Linked DNA regions of Rhinolophus ferrumequinum. The protein of the gene in region 1 purifies or fractionates together with the protein of each later gene. This does not show direct contact. Links are inferred from orthologs where the notes say so. Each region holds a gene or a part of one and is shown on either strand. Other genes may lie near its edges.

Region 1 (7,512 bases):
GGAAGTTTCGTCAGTGTTTACAAAAAAGTACAAAATCTGAAAGTCAAGTACTAAAACAATTATAGCATTTAGTAGTTTTTACCTGAAGGTAAACTTAAAAAAAGAAAGAAAGAAAAATTTTAAAAAAAGGAGAACATTCTAAGAAAGGCATGGTTTCTAGCTATACCTTTATCTACCACTTCTAACCCCAGTCAATATGATACAACAAATTAGCATCACAAAATAACACAACCTAGAAACAAATGTGCTAAATTTTCTCTAGTATAGCACCATTTGCAAGCAAACACATCAGTCACCTCCTAGAGGTCCACACACTGAATAATTCTCTGAAGACTGGCTAGTGCATGGGAATCAGGGAACCACTTTCTTCTTCCTTGCTGGCAAAACAAAAGACCCCACAAACTCCAAAGTATCCTGACTCAGAACAAAGGTTAAGAACTTTAAAATCAAATGCAAAAACTGGGAGTAATTTAATCTTTGCAAAATACCTTTTACTTTAATCATCACTACACTTGAAAATAAATATGGAGAAAATGGAGTAGGATATAGTAACAGGACATATTGAGGGCACAGAAAATAGGGACTAGAACTTACTTTGTGTCCCACTGGACGCTAATTTAGCACAGTATTTTAACAGCCTGTTTGTTAAAATAAACAGTTTAAAATAAACGTTTGTGAAGAGAAGACTAACCGGTGACCTGTCACATCTGGGTCTTTAGAAGGGGATGATGAGAAGGAAGAGAAAACAGAAGGATTTCAACTGAACATAAGGAACTTCTTTAGCAAAAGAGTGATAAAACACTAGACTTGCTTACAGAATCATCACCTCAAGAATTTCAAGGTGTGAGTAAGTCAGCATCTTTGGGACATTCTCGAATTGAAATCTGGTAGCCCAGGTACATATCACCTGTAACTTGATTATTCAGAGACTGCTATCTTCATTTAGTGGGCACTATGTATCTGATTAGACATGTCACAGGCCCACTCTTCAAAATGCAGAGGAGGAGGAAATAAGGAGAACACAGAAGCAAGGGCTGGGTGATTCAGGCTGCCAATAATGGATGAATGCGGGGTTCCATATGGACATTTCGGGAGTGCACTATTCGTGACTGTAAAAGCCTCACTTTGAGGCATGGGTCCTTTTGGCTGCCGCTGTTAAGGCTGTCACCTATTCTTCCCCCACATACACCCAGGATTTGGCACTGCATCATACAACAGTCATCCTATGACTCTTGGAAGCCCCTATCTCTCTCTGTCAAAGTGCTTTGGGATGGATGCCCCCATCCCAAAGCACTTTGACAGAGAGAGATGATAAAAGGATGAGTAAGCATGCGGTAGCTGATCTTGGTCAAAGAGCACAGACCCTGGAACCCACGGTGGAAAATGGGGGGAGGAAGAGAACAGCAAGTGCAGTCGGGAGTTCATCCAGAGCTGTGAGCAGTTACAAGCTTTCCTACAGCAGGTATAGTTACCACCCGTTGCAATCACCATAGACTCCAAGCCCTCGCTTTCAGCTCCTTCCCCCCACTGCACTCAAGTGCACATTTTCCTTGGACAGCTACTCCTTAAAAACAACTTGAAAAGATAAATGTAATTTCCCCCGGCTTCTGCTTGTCAAAGACAATAAAGCCTCACCCTGAAGCACGGTGAAGTTCAACGGTTCTGTTCTCTTACTCTTTTTTTTGGCACGCGGTCCACCCCCCACCCCAACCACAGACCACCTCAGTTCGGTAAAAAGGCGACTGCCGGGAACAGTTTTAAATACGTCAACCTTTTGTTGGGGGGGAAAAAAACCCCACCACAACAAACTTCTGAATTACTTCAACAGCCCGGTTACAAGTACTTGACCTTATTTGCGCCAAAAAAAAAAAAAAAAAAAAAATAGGACACCGAGAGATCAGAAATGTTTTTCTCCCTGCCTTCCTACTTTGGTCGGGGCGGCATCTGGGGGCTACCCAAGAGGGCTCTTGTAGGGCTTCTTCGATAGGAAACTTGCTCTCAGTAGCCAAACGTCCTTTAGGCCCCTGGTTTTCTTTAAAATGTTTAACTTCATAGACAGAAAAAAACCCGAGGTGATGTTTCCTTTGTTAAAATCCCACGGACTTTATTTAATTTGCGGCGGAAAGGCTGCTAGCCGCGATCACGACAGCAAGCCGCGAAAAGGCGGTGAGACAGGTGCGATTTCTCCCTCTGGGGTGCCCTGCGGCAGTTCTGGGAGGGCGGCGGACCCCTCCAGCGCCACCCGGGCCCGAACGAACCTGTGACTCCCCTCGCGTCCGCGGCCTCCCCAGACACGTCCTCCCCGCGTCCCGGCCGCCCCCTGCCGCCGCCGCCCCGCGGGGCCCGGCCTCACCGCCGGCGCCGCTCAAAATGGAGGTGGCGGCGGCGGGCGGCTGGTTACGAAACGCGCGGCCGCCACATGGCCGCGCCAGCCCCAAACTTGGCCGGGTCCGCCGCGTCCCGGCGCCTAGACGAGGCCGGGCTCGGGCGCAAGGAGGCCGCGCGGCGCCCGCCACTCACCCACGGACCGGTAGCCCAAGATCGCGATCTTCCGGGACTTGGACTGCGGCATCTTGGCGGCCTCCTCAGGCCCGGGCCAACCACATCAACTGCGGCGGCGGCGGCTCCTGTGCTGCGATCGGCGGCGGCCGCGCCGGGGCAGAGCGGCATCCAGGGGCGGGGCGGGGCGGGCGGGCGCGGGCGGGCGCGGCTGCCTCGGCTCCAAGCTCGCGCGCCCAACCGCCCGGAACCGCCGCGTGGACCCGCCCCCAAACACGCCCACGTGACCTCCCGCCGCCGCCGCCGGCGGCTCCCCAGCGACTCGCGTCAGCGCCCCCGCCCCAACCGCGGCGGCCGCCCCCGCCCCAGAAAAGCACAGGGGTGCGTCGGGCAACGTTTTACTTTAAAGGGAGAAAAAGGCGACGCCGAGATACCCCCGGAAATGTCACGACTGAAACTCGCTGCGTCATGACCCTCCCTCCGTCTTCCGCCGCTTTTTAATTACGCCAGTTCTCCTCCAATGTGTATTGGACAACTTTCGCCCGCCCGCGCGGTGACGCGACGGAAACTCCGTTTCCCATTGGGGGTGGCGAGGAGGCGGAGCCTGAGGGCGGGGCTGCTCGCCCTGGAGCTAAAAATAAAATCAGGCTGCGACCGCGCGGTTGTGCGCCAGTGAGGTTTGAAGGCTTCGGAAGTCGCAGGGGTGGGGGGCGGGCGGGAGCGGAGAGAAGCTAGCTTCCCAGTGATTGGTTAGAGCAGGTTGAGAGGCGGAGCAAGCTGCGGGGGGCGCGGTGATTGGCGAAACGACGAGCGGTTGGTGGACTCGCTACCCCCGAGCCGTTAAAAGGCGAGAGGCGCGAGGCGCGTGGCTGTTACCTCCTGGCCCGTGGGTTGGCTGTGTTTTTTTAAAGGCCCTTTGATATATTGGCGTTTAAGTCTGGGTTTGGAGGTGTACGTGGTGACTAAACGTCATCCAAGGTGAGGGGCCGTGAGAAGAATGGACAGTGCATTAATTCAAAATGTTTTTCATTTCATTCAAAATGTGTGCGTTTCCCCAGTTCCGGTCTCAACCCTGCCACGTGCCGACGCGGCACACCTCAGTAGACAAACTTAAAACACTAGTTGTTGTTGGCTGCGAACGTTCCAGAACCGTCATTCCGACGGGGCTCGCTCTCCGGTGTGGGCTGACCTCTCCAGACGCGGCCGTGTTTTCCACAAAAGGCGCACTGACAACCCCTTTTCCCCGGTGCTGGTGAAGAGCCCTTGGCGGGGCACCAATGATGAGTGCAGGGACAGCAGCCCGGGGCCTCCGTCATGGAAAATGAAGGGGAAAGCCAGGCCTGGGAAGTGAGGACAGTTGGGAGATTTCCAGCTAGGGAGACTTCCATCATGGTAGATATTCCTGCCCTTGGTGATTGCTAAAAAAGCAGATACCCCGCTACTCGTACGAATGACCCGTTGGCCTCCGGCTGTTAGACAGTGTTGACCTGTTGAGTGGGACAACTTGCTGGTCATGCATGGCTTTTTGCCTTTTCCAGTGAACACAGAGAAGGAGCCCCAGGAAGCTGAGCGGCAAGATTGGATTCCTGGGTATGAAGATTTAGAGGTGACTGTCCCATAAATATGCCTGTTGAGTTAGCACACTGGCGTTAAGACTGAGTCCTTCTCTGCCCCGGCCACGTACTCCGGCCACGTACTCCTCGGAGAAGGGGCATATGCATTTTATGCATTTTTTCCTTGGAGGGAGGCGGGTGTCTACAGATCGAAGCTTCAGGCATCCAGCTGTGAGAAATGTCTTTGAAATTCTGTGTTTTATCTCAATGGATTTTTGCATTCTACTCTATAATTAGTTGAAATATGTAAAAACTTCAGGTCTAAAAATGGACTCTCCAGGGAAATGTATCATTTTCATCCTGCGGGTTTGGATATCCCCAACCACAGTATTTTGAACTGATAGTACTCGACTCCCTGGTGGGTTGTGAAATCAGCTTAGTGGGTGTTACCTTCTTTTTTCTTTTCTTGCTTTTTTTTCTTTAATAGAACAGAATGGAAAATAGTATGTTGCCTACAGAAAGTATTGTTTCATCACATTTTTGTTGTGTGGATATATATTTACAGATGTGATATATATGTATTGTGTACTGAGTCCCATGGTAAAATCTGTTTCTTACTGAGGTTGCCTCAAAAAGTTTGAATGCACTGCCTTAGTCTAGGAATATTAGGAATCCAGACCAAGAAGTGCAGTTGTCCAGCACAAATCATTTAAGAAATGTTCCAATTGTCTTAAAGCCCTTTAAGGTTAGTCAGACCCAGGAGTTTTGAAGATTCCTTTGTTCTAGAGTGGGGAGAATTCGGTTTAAGAAATGACTCAGATTACCTAAAATAATTGGAATTGATGGTATGAATTCACATAGAAATAACTGATTGCAGCCAAATCTTACAGGAACATGGGTGGGAGAAGTGGACTTGCTTCTAAATGCAAAGTAGTTTCACTGATGAGATCACTTGTTAACCTTTTAAGCAGCTGGAACTTGTGCTTCTTTCTATTCAGGGCTGCTCTGTCTTGTGAACTCTGCATGCTAACTTCTGTGTTTTCTTCCACTGCCTTCTGTTTCCCTGGGAACCAAGAACTCCGTCTCTTCCATTTAAATTCCAGAGAGAGGACATGATTGGTTCAGCTCATTACCATCATCGCTCAAGTGAAGGGCTCATACTAAACCTGCAGATGGGCCGAAGCTTCTGCTGGCCTGAACCCCCTGCGTTGGTTGATGAGGAAGTTAGTGGAAGTTATTTGAAGCTGGAACTGTCCACATCATAGGAACATTTAACTTGCTGTGAGCATTGACAAGTTCAGTGACATCTGATTTCTAATTCCAACATAGTTTTTTAATTCCCAGGGGTAATATACAAAACTTCCTTTTTTTCCCTACCATTGAGAAAGAATGCTTGTTTTTTCCTGAAAGGACATTTGTGACATTATTTTACCTTTTTTACATGGGAAAGAGTACCCCTAAATGAAAGTAGACATGAAAGTGTTTAGTTTTTTAAGTGTTTGTTAGAGGATGAATGGAAAAGAACTAGACTCGTCTTCTTCTTGGAGTAGCCAAACCAGACTGATACGTTATGTCTCACGTGGGTATTGTTCAAATCAAACAGTGCAGGTTTGGGGATAGAGGCCAAGGTCGTTTCATTGTGTGGTCGTCTTGTTGGAGTCCAGAGGACAGATCCTGCTCGTGTGGCGGGGGGCCTGGTTTCCTCGGCAGGTCCTTACTAAGCCTGCCCTCAGCGTCTTAGTATGAGGCCATCCTGGGGAAGGCAAATCCCGGACTGGGATGAAAGAATCTCCCCTCGCTGAAGCCAGGGATCAGTCTGGCCCAAACCTGTGGTATGGAGTTGCATGGAGTGCTCCCAGGAGAGGGGCGTGAGGCCAGCCAGCCTAAGTCTACGTAGGGAGGACATGCGTGGCGGAGGAGGTTGGCTCCGGAAGGAGCTCTGAGGGCAGGTCCAGGCTGATGCAGTAGTTGTAAATTGTTCTCAACTATTAGGGGCTGAATGTGCCCTCCCCCCCCCAAAAAAAAAAGATATGTTGAAGTCCTAACCCTCTCAGAATGTGATCTTATTTGGGCATAGGGCTGTTGCAGAGTTAATTATTTGAGACCATACTGAAGTAGAGGGGCCCCTAATCCAACATGACTGGTGTCCTCAAAAGAGAAGAGACACAGGCACACAGACACAGAGGGAAGACAGCCCCGTGATGAGAGATTGGAGTGATGCTGCCACAAGCCAGGGAATGCCTGGGCTCACAGAAGCTGGAGGAGGTGAGGAGGATCCGCCCCTGGAGACTTCAGAGGCAGCGTGACCTTGCTGACACCTTGACTTGGGACTTCTGGCCTCCAAAATAAATTTACTTTATTTTAAGCCACCAGTCTGTGGTACGTTGTTACAGCAGCCCTAGAAAACTAACACATCAACTATAAAATTCTCAAAAAATTTTCATTAAAAGTTCGAGTCTAGTTTCTGCTGGGCTGTGGAAGAAATGGGCCTTCTCCGCAAGCCCCCAAGCCACAGTGCACCTGATAGCAGCTTTCGCCAGCAGAGGAGCTGCAGTGCCCAGCAGAGCAAGTCTTCTGAGGGTCACATGGCTGGAGCAGAACTCCTGTGCCAAAGCCTGCGCGATGACAGCACGTGGGGAATGCTCAGGAAGACGCAAGAGGCCAATTCCTTACAATAAAACAAGGGATGGCTCATGCCAGTGAGGCTTGGGTTACCTACGTTCTGCAGATGTGCCTTAGATGTGGCATTTAGTCACAGTGTTCATGGCCACCGAAGGATGTAATTACCGGTGAGGGACATGTTCACTATTGGTTCCTCCTCCTGTGTGAAGGGTTGTCTCATTGTTGGAATTTCTTTCATTGGTGTGCAGAAAAAGAATAGAACTTCTATTTTTAAAACATTTTTATTTTACAAATAAAGAATTGAGCTTTACTAATATGTAACGTATGGACTGACCATGGCACCCTCATAGCCTGTATGACAAGACAGATGGTGCCGGGTCATGACTGGTCTGAGAGGTATCCTGGGTGGCACTTCCACAAAAGGGAGGGGTTGGCATTAGTGCCCTCACTGTTTTGTGCTCAGAATATTATACTGTATTGCTTTTCATGCATCATCAGGTTCTGAGGAATTACAGAATCTACTACGTAAGTTCTGTTAAACTAAATTAAATCTAACAAAATGGTCATTGGTCTTTGAAGATTCCTTCAAAGAAACCATGAATTAATGATGAGAATAAAAACACAACATGAGCACACACTAAGAAAAATGGGAAAGCCATCACCTCTTCCTTGAATGAGCTCTTTATCAGCTACATTATAGGCAAACCCGATAATCTACTCACATGACAAAAATTTTTACAGAAACGTAAAAATTAACAAGAGTATTTAAAATACGGATTCGTATCCACTAGCATTAATGATGACTACGTGTAATTAGACCTTGATATTAGCTCATGAA
Region 2 (7,991 bases), on another chromosome or scaffold:
GAGGACCTGAGAATCACTGATGAGATGTGAATGTTACGGAAAATAACAAATGGGGAGTTTAAAAAGACTGTAAAGAGAGACAGTTGGTGATATAGTTTGTATTCTCATAAAGGTAGAATCTTATTGTAGGCAATATTACTCAAATAAAAGGTTGTAAAATTCAATTTGAATGGTTTTTATTGGATAACAAATTTTCTCATCGTACTGTGTTTCCCCCAAAATAAGACCTAGTCAGCCCGTCAGCTCTAATGCATCTTTTGGAGCAAAAATTAATAGAAGACTTGGTAATATATTATATTATACCTGGTCTTCTAGTAAAATAAGACCGGGTCTTATATTAATTTTTGCTCCATAATGTGTCTAATCAGACACATTAGAGCTGGTGCTCCGGCTAGGTCTTATTTTTGGGGAAACACGGTAGTTTCTATCATACAAGGTTTCCTTTTTTTCTTTTCAGACACTGTCTGCCCTGGGCACAGGTCACATCTTGGGATTCTACCCCCAGGATCCACTTCTGTTCCCTTGCCTTCGTGCATTTCCTTCTCGGCTCTGTCGGTGGCGGAGGCCGCACACAAGTTCTCAATTCTGATAGAAGAAGTGTGGGTAGTGGGTGGCGTCTGTTCAACAAGAGCCGCTTTTTACCATAGCCCCTGTGCTTCTCAGGGCTTGCCCCTGTTTTGGAATGGAATAACAGTCTCTGCTTATCAAAACTGTACTTGCTCAGTATAAAAAATATGAATAAAATAGAAAGGTAAACTGGAGGGGGTGAGATCACATACAGAAACATGACGATTTTTAGACGGATGAACTGGGTGGAGAGGACGATATTCCCTTGGCTTCTGCAGCCTTGCATTTCCCACGGAGGGCGGGCGGAGGGCGACGCTGGGGCTGCTCCTACCCCTCTTCCCTCTCCTCGGCCCCTGTCAACAAAACATCTGACCTGCAGAGGGAGGTGGCTTGGATTTTGCTAAAAATAGTGTAATGACGCTCAGAAAAAGCAAAGTGCTTTATATCTATTTTGGTTTCTTTTAGCCTAAGCACCGATTTCTCTGGAAAGGACAGAAGCCGGCCCGTCTCCCCGCGTGGAAAACAAGAGCTCAGCGAAGTTCCTGGTTTTCTCGAGCTGCTTGACCTCCCGTCTCGCTACTGATTCTTGATGACAGGACATTCAATGCCCTTGATTGATTTAGTGGAGAAGCTGCAGCGTTGGAGGGCAGAGCGCAGCTGGTTCTGCCTCGCCTGGGCTGCCATGGTCTTGTGCCTGGAGGAAAGATTAGGTCCCTTGCATGGGCCAGCAGCTGAGGTTGGAAGCTCTGAAACTCCAGGCGCTTTCGTTCTTCCTGTGCTGTGTACAGTGCCTGAGGCGTTTATTCAGGCCCCCGCCCTGCCCATCTTCCCTCCCCCCACCCATATTTCCCGTGACTTCTGTTGTATTTGACCGACACACTCAGGTTTGTAAATGTGTTCTCTGCTCACTTTGCTGTATCTTTGGCTTCTGGTTGCCAAGTAGCCCGAGTGAGGCTGGAAGGGGTCATCTGATCACCTTCACGTTCTAGGGCGAGGTCCCCCTCTCTATACAGGCAGGTTTAGGGTTATTCTGCTGTTTCAGATCAGAGCCTCCCCCGCTTCCACACCTGCAGCCTGATGGCAGCCATCAGCAGGAGGTCATCAACACCCTCCCCTGCTTTCATAGCTTGTGTTAGACCAGGTTCCGTGCATTTTTTGAGATTCACTTGTTTTCAAGATTAAACTGTCTTGTTTAGAGGCTTTGTGGAAAGCAGGCAATGTCCTTGCCTGTGAAGAATTGGAGACACCGGAAATTGGAACTGCAGGCCCAAGTCGCCAGCCCATCGCACGCCGGGTAATAAGATCACCGAGGTGAGAAAGATTAGCCTGTGAATTTCCAGCCTGCCATTACTCAGAGCCTCTCACTGCCATCCGGAAACCTGGAGCCACCCTTCCAAATGCTTATCTGGGACTTGAACAGTCACCCATGACACATCAGAACGAGTTTGCTTTTAAATGTCATGATGCTTTGAAATGACTCAAGCCCATTCTTAAACCTTCAGACTGGGAGCTGGGCTGTCACCAGCCCCTTCCTGATTTACACATGGTCACAGAATTTTGACCCCGAAGTGCCCTTAGAGATTTACCTTCTTCACGTCACCCATGTCACCCCGATGTGGAGCCTGAGGATGGGAATGGCAGCATCTTGGCCATGGCTACAGGAATGGGTGGTGAACCAGGGACCGGAGTGTGTATCCTGACCTTCAGTTCGGGACGTGGACCCCAGATGGCCTCTTGGTTCTGGGGTCACACTTGTCGTCCAGTAGGGGGTGACTCCTGCTGTGACTTGTTGGATGGAAGATTGGATAAGTGCTTCGGAGCATTCACTTACTCGGTACACATACAGAGGGTGCCAAAAAAATGTATACACATTTTAAGAAAGGAAAAAACTGTATTAAAATTGTAATGCTCCATATACACAATAACAACAGATAAATACAAGTCATGTGTATATATTTTTTGGCGCCCGCAGTATTTACTGAGGGCCCGTCACGTGGCTGGAACGGACTCATTAGAGGAGAATGCTGCCTAATGTCCTTAGAATATTGTCCGATCCCCCACATCTGGCTCATGTGAAGCTATCACCAGGGTTACCTGATTAAAAAACCCAGAGGCTGAATCCTTTCTTCCCTCTCCTTGTGGCTCAGTACATCTAGGATGGGACCCTGGCATCTTCATTTTAAAACAGTTTCCCCGGCGATTCTGACAAGCTGCCAGGTGTGCGTGCCGTGGCCTCCTTTACTGACTTTGTGGACACTCAGACAAGGCGAGTGGCTTTCCCAAGGTGACACATACTGAACAGATGAGGAAACTGGGTCTCACACAGATTAAGTGGGTTTCCCCAGGTCACAGAACTAACTATGCAGCTGCTTTTCTGCTGCCGTGGCTTCCTCCCAGCACTAGTGCCTGGAGTGGTTATCTGTGGCCCCTCACTGTCGTGTGCTGCAGGGTGGCAAGGCAGCAGCTGGAGTCGTGGTGTTGCGTTCAGGTGAGAATGAAACAGGGCCCGGCTGGGACCCCCCTCCCCCGCAGTGGAGGCCTTGCGCGTCCCGGCCTCGCCTTTCCTTCATATAGCTTAGTAATAGATTGTCCCCCTGTGGCTTGAGCTCGGAATGTCCCCTGTCCCGGTTCCCAGCTTTAGAAAGTCACCCTGAAACTTATGGTTAATACCCTTAGGCTTACTGATCACAATCTCTGTGGTCTAGCATTCTTTCCAGGATACTCCCATCACTGTTCCTGGGCTGCTGACACCACGGGGAGAACCACGTGGCCACAGGGAAGGCTCCGTGCAGACCCCTGGAACCATCATGTAGCCTCTGGAGGAACTCCCATGTTTTCCCTTAAATATCCTAAGCCGGTCTGAGAGAATGAAGGCAGTTTTTGGAGGTCTTGACCTGCTGCCTTATCAGATCACGTGTGTGTTCCGATAATAAATGCTTGTTCTACAGCCCAGACACAGCCCCTGTGTCTGTGTATCGGCTGGCCGGCACAGGCGGCATGAGCCCCGGACTCGGTTGCCCTCCAGTTTCAAGAACAGGGCCTTCTCAGGACCTCGCAGTCCTGAAGCCTCTGCTGGTGACGGTGGCATGTTTTGCCAACACAGAGCACAGGGAAAAGGAAGATTTTAGCCTCCATCTGTGTTTTGGTGATTTTGCCCTGAGTTGTAATGGAAGGATTGGGCTCATAGAGATGTAAGAACTGAATGAATGTGTGGAATGACTTCATGTTTGGACTGATTTAATCCAAGAACTTTTAGTAAACGCTTGCTATGTGCCAAATGAGAAAGATCTGGGATTGCACTGTTCACTCGGATGTGGAAAGGAACACAAGCGTCCTCAGGATTTCGACGTGGACCACCACGTGGTGTCACAGCCCTGAGAAGCCACACTGAGAAAAGGTATCTTCTAGAGCCCAGCCTGAGGTTTTTGGATGAATAAGGTACCCAGGGCGCCTACATTTCATTTTGGCTATACAGTGGTCGTTGCTAGTGTACTGGGCACTCACGATATACTAGTCACCTTCACAGGTTAATTTTATCCTTCCAGGTGGGTGTTATTATCCCCGTGTTATAGCTGGGAAACTAAGATTGAGCTCTTTAAGGGATTGACTAAGGCCACAGAGATGGAAAGTGATACAGGTGCGCCTGACACCAAAGCCCAGTGGAAGGGAGGAAGACCAACCCCTGGCCCCCTGCTGGGCTTTGCCTAAAGGTTACTGTGTGTCTCACTAGACAGGACATTGATTGAAGGCAGGCTCTGCACGCTGGTTGGGTTTTGTGTTCCCTCCTGCACCGGACAAGGTCTGCACACATTATAAATAAGCAAAGTCTGCTGAACTGAAGCAGAGAAAGAAAGTTACGCAGGAGGCGTACATCCACGCCTAGAAATCTGTAGGTTTTAGTTGTTTGCACATGAAGCTATCTCAAAACAGGAATAAACTGCTCAGAAAGTAAGATGGATTAAACAAAAAATTGCAATCATTGAAATTATTCTTTTCTCTTGGTGTTCCCTGAAAATCTGATTGGTACTGTGAAGGATACTACACGCACACAAACCCTCCCCCCACCCCAAATCCCATCTTCTTTTGTAATATTATCAATGGTTCTTTCTGAAGCTTTTCCTGCCTTTTCAAAATCTGAAAGAAAACAACAAAGGGGTCGAGATTCCTTTAATTTCAGAAGCACGTGGGTCCATTTGTAATTATAAAAAGATTTTTTTCAAAGTTAATTAATTTAACATAGTTTTATTTGTAGGATTGACTTTGCCACCACGCAGCGAAAGAATCGCAATAAACTCTGGAAAGCTGCACCGTGGTGACCACGGTAACGAAGTTGGAGCAAAAACTGCTCCCATCGCATCTTGGGAAGCGCGGCCGGAACGCTCTGAGGTAGTTTGGTCTGTTAGCCACGCCGTAGATCGCGATGCATGCTGGGTCTTAGCAATATGGCGTCCTCCTTGATGTGCTGATGAGAGGAGTTTCACTGTAGCTTCAAACCAGAGGGCAAAACTCCCCAAACCCAATAATCCCACATTACCTGTTTTCTCCGCGGCGCCGTGTCGCCCGTTTCTCAGGACTCGTTCTCAGGCAGGAGAGAGCCACGGGGCCGAAGGTCAGGACCGGCCAGGCCGCGCGGACCCGGGGCTGAGGAACCGGCTGCGGACGAGCACGATGGGCCGGTCCCGGCTCTGGTTGCAGCAGCTGCGGCGAGTGCGGGACCCGCAGGGCTGAAAGTGGCAGGAGGAGACCCGGGGCGCTCCGAACCCCTTCCCTTCGGCCGGAGACGTCAGCCCAGTCGGCGAACCGGCGTCAGGAGCGGGCGGCCTGCCTGTCCTCGGGTCGGCCGAGGCGTTGGAGGCCGAGCGCAGGGTCATCGTGCGGCCTGAAGCCCCGCACGCCTCTGACAGCTCCGCTCGCAGCCCCCCGGGAGCAGACAGCCTCAGAAGCAGCCGTGTGCGTCTGTGCAGAGCCCCCTGCGCTGCCCCATCTCCCCGGCCCTTCCTCCCCCTCCGGCTTCCCTCGGAGAGAAAGGATTTCAGCAGACTTTTTGCCAGAGCGAGGGTCTCCGCACGCTCTCCATTTGTTTCGTTTCTGACTCCCCCCGTATCTGTTTTGTAGTTGACCAGTTCTGGTGCCCACTAGCTTTTAAGGCTGGAGGTTCTCGAGCGCTTGCTGCCAAGGACCCCCCCACCCCCACCCCCCCTGATGGAGTCCGAAATGCTGCAGTCGCCCCTTCTGGGGCTTGGGGAGGAAGATGAGGCCGACCTGACAGACTGGAACCTGCCTTTGGCTTTTATGAAAAAGAGGCACTGCGAGAAAATCGAAGGCTCCAAGTCCTTAGCGCAGAGCTGGAGGATGAAGGATCGGGTAAGTGGATTCCGGCTGCGCCCCGAGGCCTTGGGAGTTTTTTCAACAAAGGAAAGTTCAGAGCCAAAAGCACGTCCTTGGGAAAGCGGGAGACGTATTTTCCTAGCCACATGTCGCAAGGCAACTAAAAACCACACACCATGTCAGACGCCAGTGTTTGGCTGAAAATGCAAAGGCTGTTTTGCTTAGTAATTCACAGGATAGTGTGAAGTCAAACCAAGTTCTGCATCAAACAAGAAAAGTTAAGCAAGTTTGCAAATAGAGCACTGCAAATATTTAGGCGCTGTTTGATATACTCAGTGCTGTTCTTAGAGGAAAAACATCGTCAGATATACTGCTTGTCCCCACGTGGAGAGTCTGTTGTGGTGAGTTGACGCTTTTTGTCCAAGCAGGTGAAATCCAGAAGTCTAACATAGCTACTAGGAAACATGATTACTGGCAAACGTTCATCTAGTAACAAATTAATGCAGAGTTGTTTTAAAGTTACAATGGACTTCATAGCCTTCTAAACCATTTGTCTTGAATACAGACTTGCCTCCTTTTACGTGCTATCATGTTGCTGTGACTTGGAGACAGAATTTCTCCAGGGGAGGAGTTAGAGTAGATGGAATGGAACTTGGGGCCAGGATTTCGGCGGCTCCCCATGGTGTTGGGAGTGCGCACAGTGATTCAGAAGCAACTGGTAGGAAAGAAAACAGCCCATTTTGTTGACTCTGTCCTTAATCAACGACCGTCTGTTTTCCTGGTCTCCAAAGCAAGTGTGTGGGACTGGCTCAGCTATGCACACTTATCATTTGTCTTTCTGTGGTTTATTTTCTCCTTCAAGACTGTATTTATTTAAACATTTTGGTGGTATAAGAGGGGTAGTTGGTGTTACCATGGGATTGCTTTGAGCTCATGAACGTGTTTCTATAAGATGATTTATTGTTTTTAGTATATGATGCTGAACATGTGAGCTCAGCCTTATGGCAGTCCTAGTCAATCACTGGTGACCAGCTACTGATTGAGCTTCTCTTTAAAAGGTTAGGAAAATTTGTTTCAGCCAAAAGCAGTGTAAGGAGTGCAAGAGACAGTCATCAGAAGAGATTGTATAAAGCCTGTCTTACGACCTCTTTAGTACTAATTATATAGTTCAAAGCTTTTGTGGTCTCTGCATGTATAAAAAGTTTATTTTAAAGTTACTGTCTAATCATTTTTTTTTTTCATTCTATTTGGAGGGCATTTTTTTTTTCCTTTTGAAATGTAGTTTCCTCTGCTATCCTAAACCTGTGCTCAAACAGTTCAAAACTGATAAGTGGATATATTTTTGACCTTTTAATTAAAACATTAAGTTTATGAGTGATCAACATCCCGTGATAAGCTCTTCATAGGTTATTAGGAGAAAGACAAGTTCTGTGAATCTGAGTAATTACTGAGATTACTACTTAGAAAAGAGCCAGGTGAGAAAGTTTGCCGTATCTGACGTTTGCAAATTGTTCAGTGAAGAAGAAAATCAGCAGCTGACAGTTTTAGTAAGTTTGTGAGAGCTTGGCATCTTAACAGTCCTGTCGTCTCTTTCCACTGGTTGGACCCTGACGGGACCTTTCAGTACACCATAGTAGGACAAAGGCTGCGAATTCAAAGACGGTAAGATTTGGAAGGCAGCATAAGTGAGTGAAACAGGCCAGCTCTAAGAAGAATAATGGCACAGGTTCAAAGAGAAATGGCAGCTGACATTGGACTTGTGTCTGATTTTTCTGGAGGGTGGAAGAGTGGGGCTTAGAAGAGTACGCCACATCCCTCCCTTTCTTTCTTTCTGTGGGGACAGAGCCCCAGAGAGCAGTTTCCAGGCTCTCAGCCTCACGTGGAAAGGTGCTGGCTCAGGTAGTAGGTGGCCGTCAGCTGTGACTAGTTGGCCGTCAGCTGTAACTAGTGAGCCATTGGCCACTGATATAACTGCCGCGGCTGAGCTAGCAAGCGCGGATTGCAGCCAGCACAGTGGGGTTGGTTGGTTGGCAGAGAAGCGTGGATGGCGGATTGCGTGGCTCCTACTTCCTGTGTCTCCAACCCAGCCGCCAGCA

What was found.
Region 2: the proteins of RHEB (region 1) and RPTOR purify together in Homo sapiens (affinity purification with western blotting, with the first as the bait; 3 studies listed by BioGRID). This does not show direct contact. The link is inferred for Rhinolophus ferrumequinum from reciprocal best matches to the Homo sapiens genes RHEB and RPTOR.

Annotation. Positions count from the first base shown.
Region 1 is NC_046309.1:3,537,178-3,544,689, reverse strand, and holds the start of RHEB (GTP-binding protein Rheb), read right to left. Parts: upstream 3,007-7,512; 5' UTR 2,573-3,006; coding exon 2,521-2,572; intron 1-2,520. UniProt on the Homo sapiens protein: Small GTPase that acts as an allosteric activator of the canonical mTORC1 complex, an evolutionarily conserved central nutrient sensor that stimulates anabolic reactions and macromolecule biosynthesis to promote cellular biomass generation and growth.
Region 2 is NC_046304.1:53,773,203-53,781,193, forward strand, and holds the start of RPTOR (regulatory-associated protein of mTOR), read left to right. Parts: upstream 1-4,991; 5' UTR 4,992-5,769; coding exon 5,770-5,931; intron 5,932-7,991. UniProt on the Homo sapiens protein: Component of the mechanistic target of rapamycin complex 1 (mTORC1), an evolutionarily conserved central nutrient sensor that stimulates anabolic reactions and macromolecule biosynthesis to promote cellular biomass generation and growth.